2 linked regions of the Bombyx mori genome follow. The protein of the gene in region 2 purifies or fractionates together with the protein of the main gene of each other region. This does not show direct contact. Links are inferred from orthologs where the notes say so. Each region holds a gene or a part of one and is shown on either strand. Other genes may lie near its edges.

What was found. Proteins that work in one complex are often made in the same cells at the same time.
Region 1: the proteins of kinesin-like protein costa (region 2) and suppressor of fused homolog purify together in Drosophila melanogaster (affinity purification with western blotting; 3 studies listed by BioGRID, with this or other methods). This does not show direct contact. The link is inferred for Bombyx mori from reciprocal best matches to the Drosophila melanogaster genes cos and Su(fu).

Annotation. Positions count from the first base shown.
Region 1 is NC_085130.1:19,123,745-19,129,078, forward strand, and holds the start of suppressor of fused homolog, read right to left. Parts: upstream 3,447-5,334; 5' UTR 3,302-3,446; coding exon 3,163-3,301; intron 2,518-3,162; coding exon 2,406-2,517; intron 1,336-2,405; coding exon 1,243-1,335; intron 527-1,242; coding exon 330-526; intron 39-329; coding exon 1-38. Other genes in the region: transmembrane emp24 domain-containing protein 5, read left to right, coding at 4,105-4,245, 4,825-5,001.
Region 2 is NC_085118.1:7,785,245-7,788,894, forward strand, and holds the end of kinesin-like protein costa, read right to left. Parts: intron 2,951-3,650; coding exon 2,809-2,950; intron 1,520-2,808; coding exon 1,400-1,519; 3' UTR 1,142-1,399; downstream 1-1,141. UniProt on the Drosophila melanogaster protein: Regulates cubitus interruptus (ci) processing by recruiting multiple kinases to promote its efficient phosphorylation.

The DNA of each region.
Region 1 (5,334 bases), on a different chromosome or scaffold from region 2:
ATGCCACGATATGTGGTCCCCGGCGCACAGCTTGTTACCTAAACCAGAAGAACCGTAGTAATTATTGGTGGTAGATACCATCACCTCCCTGCCTATTTCTGCCGTGAAGCAGTAATGCGTTTCTGTTTGAAGGACGGGGCAGCCGTTGTAACTATACTGAGACCTTAGAACTGATATCTCAAGGTGGGTGGCGCATGTACGTTGTAGATGTCCATGGGCTCCAGTAACCACTTAACACCAGGTGGGCTGTGAGCTCGTCCAACCATCTAAGCAATAAATAAAAAAAACTGACCTCAAGAAACGTCTATGAACAAACGTCACATTCAGACCTGTAGTGAACACGTATCTGGCCAAGGCCTGCAAGAGAGCCGCCGGCCACAGCGGGGGGTGCTCTGCCCCGTCAGCCGCGAGCCGGAACGTCAGCTCGATGCCGCAGCCAGACGGCAGGGGCGCGCCCGCGGACAGCGCCGCGCGATCCGGCGGAGGGTGGACCCTCCCATCCCCGTGAAGGTCTGACAGACCGAAACTGAAATTGAACTAATGTTATAACATTCAAGTCCCATGAGTTGTAGTCAACAATAATACAACACCTCAAACCTCAAGGTGAGCAACAACTGGCACTTTTGCAGTGTGGGCTTCAGATGGGTAAGCACCTGGTGCTTTGTGAGCTTGTCTGCTTATTAAAGAGAATCAGATGAGGAATGGAAGCAAGCTCTTGTGGCGGGTAGTCATCATATAACGCAAGATATTTGACAGATGCCTGAATCTCGCTTACGACATTTTCAAGATAAGCTCGCATATATACAAGTTCCGAACAACAACATTAGGACCATCGGTCTATCGCGCCAATATCCCCAGCTCAGTGGAAGATCTTCCCTTTGTCGTTTAAGCTTCCTACACTCTCAATCTCATATCTTGAGGTTTGCTGCAGCATTCATATTGAGGCTACCAGCACCCTTTACCATTTAACATCAAATGAGCCCTAATCAGTTGTTCAAACCTGATAAAGCAATTCGGATACACAATAACTTTACCAAAATTTCATTCAGACATAGCTATTAGAATTGCAGGTGAAAACCTAGACACCTTGGAAACTTGGTATAGTTGTGATCAGCTCTTGAAGGAAGGTCAAGTTGTTATATCACTTTGAGTACTTACTGTATATCGATGTAATTCATTCTAGTTACAGCAGACTTAAACTGGTTAGACTTCATTCATTAACTTATCATTTGAAGCTCCTACCTGATGTAGTGCCAATGTGGTGGTATATTTTCCTCCGGTTTCCCTGGGTTCCGGTACATGCTGATGTAGTCTAAAGGATCTTGTCCTCCCAACCTGAGACAGATGTTTCATTATTAAGCTATTGCATAGCGTTTATCGAAGGCTTTGAACGCGGCGACCGAATCAAGAAAATCCGTAACGAAAATAAAACCTAACACCCCCACTCCGCCTACCATGTAGCTTCACGTTGCGCTGGTGTAGGGGTTTGGAATAAGCGCGTGGCGTGACGTCGCACTGCATGCAAATCACGAAAGTCTGCCCATCTCTCTCTAGCGCGGTCTAGCTTATGAGTGTAAAGGGGACAGTTAATGTTTTGCTTTTGTTAATGTTTATAAATATAGCGTGGTCTTATTTTATTATTGTTTTAATATTAAATTATTATTGTCTAATTGTAATTGCATAAGTTGATAAGAAATGGTATGCAATAGCTTTACTGCGGCAGTCCCCGTGGGCTACACGGGTTTTTTTACTTTATATAATAACTTGTACTGGTGGTTAAGTGTATTGTAAGTTCACAAGCAGGCAGATTAGCCCTTCAAACCGGAATGTGTTCATTAAGAAATAAATAAGGTACCATTTTTTTTTGTGAGTCGCAGTTATTTCTTATACTACTTTTACTTTGAGTTAGGTATTGTGACGGTCGAAATCCCAAATGTCGAAAATAATAAAAGAAATACGATAACACGAAATTATAGTGTAAAAAAGAGAAATCTGTAAAAAATTGCCTATTGCCATAGCAAAGCACTCATGCTCAAATTCAATGAATGGGGCAGTTATTAAAATATTCAATAAAGTCTTCTACATTCATCATAAGCTAAGTAGGATTGGCGTTGTGATCTCTGTGGCCTTGAGCGATCAGTTCACACCAGGCAGCACCACCATTGTCGTGTTCTGCTCTAATCAAAAAGGGATCTATCCATTTATTTTCCCTATCAATTCGGTACATAGATAAACTCACAGGATCAACTTGAGAGAATTCGTTAACACCAGCCCTAGGGAGATTTCTTTGCAATACTTTGAATCTACCACCAAATCTGCATTGCGATCCACTAACAAGCTTCGGTGAGAAACTTAGTGGAGAGCCAGCATCTATGCCTAACTACACTACTATTGCGGTTCCTTACCAATATTTGAGCCTGGTCGTGACCTGCAGAGGGTTAGGCTGGTCTGGGTACAGCTGGGAACAAGCATCACATAATGCTTTCAAGCCAGCCGGAGCTACTGGTACTAGTTGTTCTGAAACAATTTAATTGTTCACTGATTTTTGGTATATTTAATGAAGAGGCACTTGAAATTACTACACTATGGTAACCACCATCAGGCTGTATGCTTATGTGCCTAGAAGGGCAATAAAAAATAATATTCGAAAATAGTCTAAAAACTGAGGAATAAAATACAGGAATCATAACAAAAATTTAGAAAGTGTGAATCAATACTAGATGAGCATTTAAGCTCATTCATCTAATAGAATGTTTGAATCCACCCACTTTAATACTATGTTTTAAATATTTTGGAATTTTGGGAATGCGGCAATAAAAGGTATTTTGAATACACCTAATACCTATGTTTATGCCCTGTGAATACTAAAAAAAATACTATACAACAACTAGCTACTGTCAGTTAAGAGTTTTGATATTATGTTCTTATGTGGTATTTATAAGAAAATTTCGGGGTAGACGTATGTGCGCTGCACATCCATGAGCACATCCCATAGCTATAGTTAAACCATATATTAATGTTCTGCTATTGTTCTGTTTGCGTTTGATGTCTGAGAAGCGCATTCGTTCATTTTTATAGAGTTGTTACAATAATTCCACAGGGGAGAAACTAGACTCTTGAAATTGTTATTTGGGATCATAAACTATGTAAATAAACAAATACCAGATTGTTTGGCATCTTGAGGTTTGCAAGCGTCATTTTCCGGTCCATGAACTCGCTGCGCAGACGCAACGAATGACAGGGCACTGTTGCAAGGCACCCCCGACGAATGAGGAGCCCTTGGGCCACTCGGACAGGACATAGCTATGTTATTCACAATTTACTTTGTTTCTGCATAATTCATTGAATCAATAATTAAATCAATTAAGAATCACTGACTCAGCTGTTGATTCCTGAACTAACAGTATTCCTATGCAGTATTCAGTCAGACTTTTTTTGATGTACGTAGCATGTACCAGATTCGAATTGAGAAAGAGAATAGAAATTAGGTTTGTAATAAATAGAAGAGTGACATGAAATGAGCAAACGGATTTTTTATGTTTTATTATGTACAAATTTTGTAGACTATGGAACATGATGGCGGATTCCTGAACGGTTTTTTAAGCAAAAATTAGCATGGAAATTGAACAAATCACAAAAGAAAATACATTTTCGGTTACATAATGAATTGCTCAACACAAATGAGTTATTAAACCAGGTTATTAATTTTAATGACGATCTACAGCTATGAAAAGACGCAGGAATTCGTCAGCTGTGAGTAGTGTTTGATCTATCGACCTATATTAGGCATATTTTTTCTAATGGTGAATTGACGATGCCGATTTCCGATTAAAACTACAATGATACATACAATGACTAATTATTAGGTACGTAAAAATTACCCCACCACCATTCCAAACTGATATTGACAAACCGCAAACAGAATTTCTGAACGATAATCTCTAACCATAAATTTCGGCTGTAAAAAATAAATCACGATTTTCACACTATTTATATTTATTTATGTCTCTAAACGACTCATCCGTGATCTATAAATAAACTATTAAACGCAAAACGCCATTCGATAAGAATTATTTGAGCTGAACAACCAAGTCAATTCATAAAATGCGTTACATATATTTGACTACTATTTTCAGTGTTGTTTTTGCCTTTGAAAAAGATATAACTTTTACTGTTCAAGCAGGAATGACCGACTGTTTCTACCAGAGAGCACAGCCGAACGAGTTAATAGACATAGAATATCAGGTACACTTAATCAATTCGGAAACAAAACTAGAGTTCATACTACGAAAAAGAGTAAATTTTTTCTCAATTCTTTGCATTCAAATGCTTTAAATTCCAGTTTATGAACTTAGTTGAAACGTTTTAATTTAAGTCATAAGGTTTTAACTTAATAAATGAACGTTCGGTTACAGTGGTCCAAACTAGCCTCTAAATATGTGAAATCCGGAGTAAACTTCTGATATAGGTGTGTACTAGCAACTGGCTAATCGCTCGCATCATTTAACTGAGGAAGCCAATAAAAAATGTGATTTGTGTTAATGATTGGACCTGTTTTTTTCATTACCTTATGTTGATGACCTTTTGCTCACTTTAAGTGGTTACAGTAGTCCCTACGTGACTCGTAACATTGAAACCTCAACAGCACAAATACATCAATTACATCCTAAAAATGGAACCTGTGATTACTCTTCAGAAGGATAAGGAATAATATCAATAAGTACCTCTACATTCCTGTGCTTCTGTGCAACATATCCTACCATCCTAGAAAATTATTTTAACTTGTTTCCTAATCTTTATATGTATGCAAAATGTATGTTAAAGGTAATAGATGCAACACATGGTGAATTGGACATATCATTTCAACTCACTGACCCTGTTGGACGGGTAATAGTCTCCGACTACAAGAAGCCAGAGAACTCTCACAGGCATCAAGCCACCTTAAATGGAGACTACAGATTTTGTTTTGACAACACATTCAGCACGTTTAGTCAGAAAACTGTAAGTAATTTATTGAGATTGGACCTTGTCCTTTGCCATTTAAAGTGAAAGATTGCCTATTCTGGAAACACAAATGGTGGCTAAACATTGGAACTTAGGGAAGTGTCCCAAGCTTATGGAGGTGGCTTATGAATATAACAAACACTACCAATATATCTACATAAAGCAAATCTATACTTAAAATATTCAAATCATAAACGCTTTAGTGTTAATCTTGAAAATAGAAACAAATACGGTTTATTACTTTTCAACACCATAACCACTGCTATTTAATGAGTTCTTACCACAAAAATTACATTTCATGACAGTTTTATGTGATATTTTACAACGTTT
Region 2 (3,650 bases):
GGTCTTCTTTTTTGTCTATAATTAATTATTTTTTGAAGATATTCGATTCGTAGTAATCGAATGTTACTTTTTTCATTTACCAGCTTCCGATTATTTTCTGTTCTTTTTTTCCATCTGAAGCCTAGCTCTTTCATAATTCGTCGTAAGCTTCATTCCGAGCCATTAAAATTTATATCTTCTTTAAATTTTTCCAAGCCTTTCTACGGTACGGAGTTTCGCTGCTTGTTATGTAGTTATTATGATTACATCTTTTTATTACAGACTGAACGAAACTATCCATTCCGGTAACTTTCTTCTTCCCTGATCTTTTCTTACCCGGAGTCCGAAACACGGCGAGCAAGCCAGAGCCTTTAGCTTCGTTAATAATGCACCTAACACTCACTGATGTTTTTGTTGCTTCCGAAGTCTGTTTTAATTTTTCCATATCATTCTTCCCCTGTTTTATAATGAAGCAATATACGTCGTACACAAATTTTCTACCCTTTCTTTTAAGTACTACACCAGTTTGTCACGGCATAGTGTATGTTTTATAAAAAATCAACAAACACTCAACAAATAGCAATGGCAACAAAGTCCACAAGCAATTATAACAAATAACTTAACGATTAATAACGATAGACTTTCCACTGTACGCAAGCGTACTTTTGGGAGCAAGCGGAATGAAGGCGCGGTGCGGGACGAAAGGTTCGACTGATCTACCAATAACGCGCTCGATACGATTTCCCCTGCCGTCACCCGCCCGCCTCACCCTCACCACCAAAGTGACCTAAAATTCGGTTCTGCGCAGTCAAGGTCATTTGCTCAAGAAGTTTGCCGATTACTATATGTAGTGTGTGTAACGTTTTTTTACTGATGTAATGTATCTTTTAGGCATTATTTTAAAAAAATATTAGCATTGTGCACTTCTTCTCTATATTCTCTAGAAGTGTGGAAAATTTCATACTCCTCCGTCCGTGCAATTTTCGTAAAAAGGGATACAAAGTTTTTGCTTCACGTATTAATATATAGATTAGTTGAATCAGATAGAATGTAGACATTATTGGAAAAAAATGTTTACTAACCTTACGCGTGTTGCTGGTAATAACTGTAAGTTAAAAAATACTTATTATCGGTATGGGAAGAAAAAAAATCCAACAAAACGTCTTTCCTAATCGAATTTATTTTGAATTACAATACGCCTTATTAACCTCGAAAACATCAAAATTGTTAATGTTAATTTTATTAAACAGTCTTACAATATGCATAAATATATTTACATGAGGCATAAAAATGAAAGTACATAATTACTTTATAATTGCATTGATTCTTTGTGCATCAATAGTTTTAAAATTAAAATAAGAATATACATGAAAATACAAAATAAAGTAACATTAAATACAAATAAAAACATAATTAAATGTCAGTGTTTCTTGCTTTGCTGTACAATAACAAGTTTGTTCTTCTCTTTCGTGACTTTTGCTACTGGTAAATTTGTTGCGGGCATCAACTGACGCAGGTTCTGACTAGGTATGATGGGAGGCTGAAAACAAATGTATTTATGTATTATTATTTTTTTCACAATTATTTCATGTTTTTTTTAAATTTTAAGTTTGTAGCGTGGAACATTGAAATATCGAGTCGCACTCGGGTATCATCGGGCGCGATCGGAATTCCCGAACGCGCAGCTGTCCCGTGACGTCATCACAACAAGATTCGTGCGCCGATTTAACTTAAATATAAAATCGAGATTTTAGTTAATTTAGTATCGTCTAGCGTCGTTTACTCATTTTTGTTTATATTTTAATATTGTATGTACATACATCTGAAAATTAGAAGTATTATTGAAATAGTGTGTTTAACTTTGATATATTATTCCGAGTGAAAATTTCCCGCGAATACGGAGAAAAATGACAAACCACAGTGGTGACCCCGACGTGATATGAACACGCAACCTTCTGATTTAAATTTAAGTTAATTTAGTTAAAAGTTTAATTTTACGTTAGTTAGGTTTAAGTTTATAGTTAGGTTTTGACTGACAGGGTGGTACCAAGGCAAATAGACGTGGGTTTGATTCCCACATTGGGCAAAGATTTCTGGAAGGAATAGGTTTGTTTGCTTTCAGTCTGATTGGTTGATATCTTTATTTGTACATATATAAGAGTACATAGGTTGTCAGTTCCCGTAGTACCGATAATCCTAGTTGGGGCCAGTGTTTTATTGAAATTACTCGTCCGCTCGATATAATTAACAATGCATTGAACAACAAACATTTCTAATTTCTACACCTTGTATGGGATACGCTGGCAAAAAAAAAAGACAGATGACATTATAAAACCGAGCAGCACTGTTCGCTCCCAAAGTAAACTGCAACAATTTTTTTTTTTTAATTGCTTGGCTGGGTGGACGAGCTCGCAGTCCACCTAGTGTTAAGTGGTTACTGGAGCCCATAGACATCTACAACGTAAATGCGCTACTCACCTTGAGATATAAGTTCTAAGGTCTCAGTATTGTTACAACGGCTGTCCCACCCTTCAAACCGAAACGCATTACTGTTTCACGGCAGAAATAGGCAGGGCGGTGCTACCTACCCGTGCGGACTCACAAGAGGTCCTACCACCACTAAGAGTTATGAGTTTCGGTTGGAAGATTTTAAGATTACTTTAATTGGGACTTTGACCTGATTGACGCGTTCATAGTCGACGTCATTAGCATCTCCTCCGCTTCATCGCTCCAGTGGCATTTTAGTTTTAGCTAATAAAATAAACTGAAGAATGGTTCATGAGTGAAAAAGGTTTGGAAACCCAGAATTTGGTGCTGTTCTATACATACCGGATTGCATCTTGCAAGCTGTTTCATTCGGTCGACCAGGCGCATGGCATCATCCGATGTTTCCGAATCTGTTGTCATGCCGAGAGACAGGGCCCTCTCTGGGTTTCCTCCGTCCAAACATCGATGAAACGATTGGAAATGTCTAGAGGACAATTTAACATAAGCATTCATAACCGACGCATAAGTCACAAAAATACTTATATAGTAAATATTCAGGCAAGTGTTGAAAAAATAATTGTTTAAAACTATAAATAAAAACGCTTTTGTAGCTAGCTTATCTAAAAAGAAGAAAATAAATCTCTATAAGTGTTATAAATAAAAATGGTGATTAGAAAAATGCATTCAATATTCCTTTACATATATACGTATATCACACTAATAAAAGCATGTTCAAAATCAATATCTACATATTTCTTACCATAAACATTCATTTTAGGATTAGAATTTTAATTTTAATGTACGAATATTTTTAGTTTTGCATATTCAGATTAGTTATAATTCTTAGGGTATCTCTTTAAGAAAATCTGAATAACGTCCTGCTCTTCTGATATAATTAACGACTTTACATGATTAATCTGAAGATCTGGTTATATTTACTACACTGACCTTCTCTAAGTACTACTAGGTGCTAATAATTGTAAGTAATGTGTCTACATCATTTTTCAATTACATCTATATCTTATTTCGCCCTATTTCTTACAGTAAGGAATGGAGGAAGGTCGCGTCATGAACCCAAAAAAAAGAAAATAATGAAATCCTTTGGCCCACTTCTGTCTCGAAGGAACGTGGTTTCTAAGTCCTAAGGGCAGGTTTGTCGTTATTGCAACGCAACTGACACATTC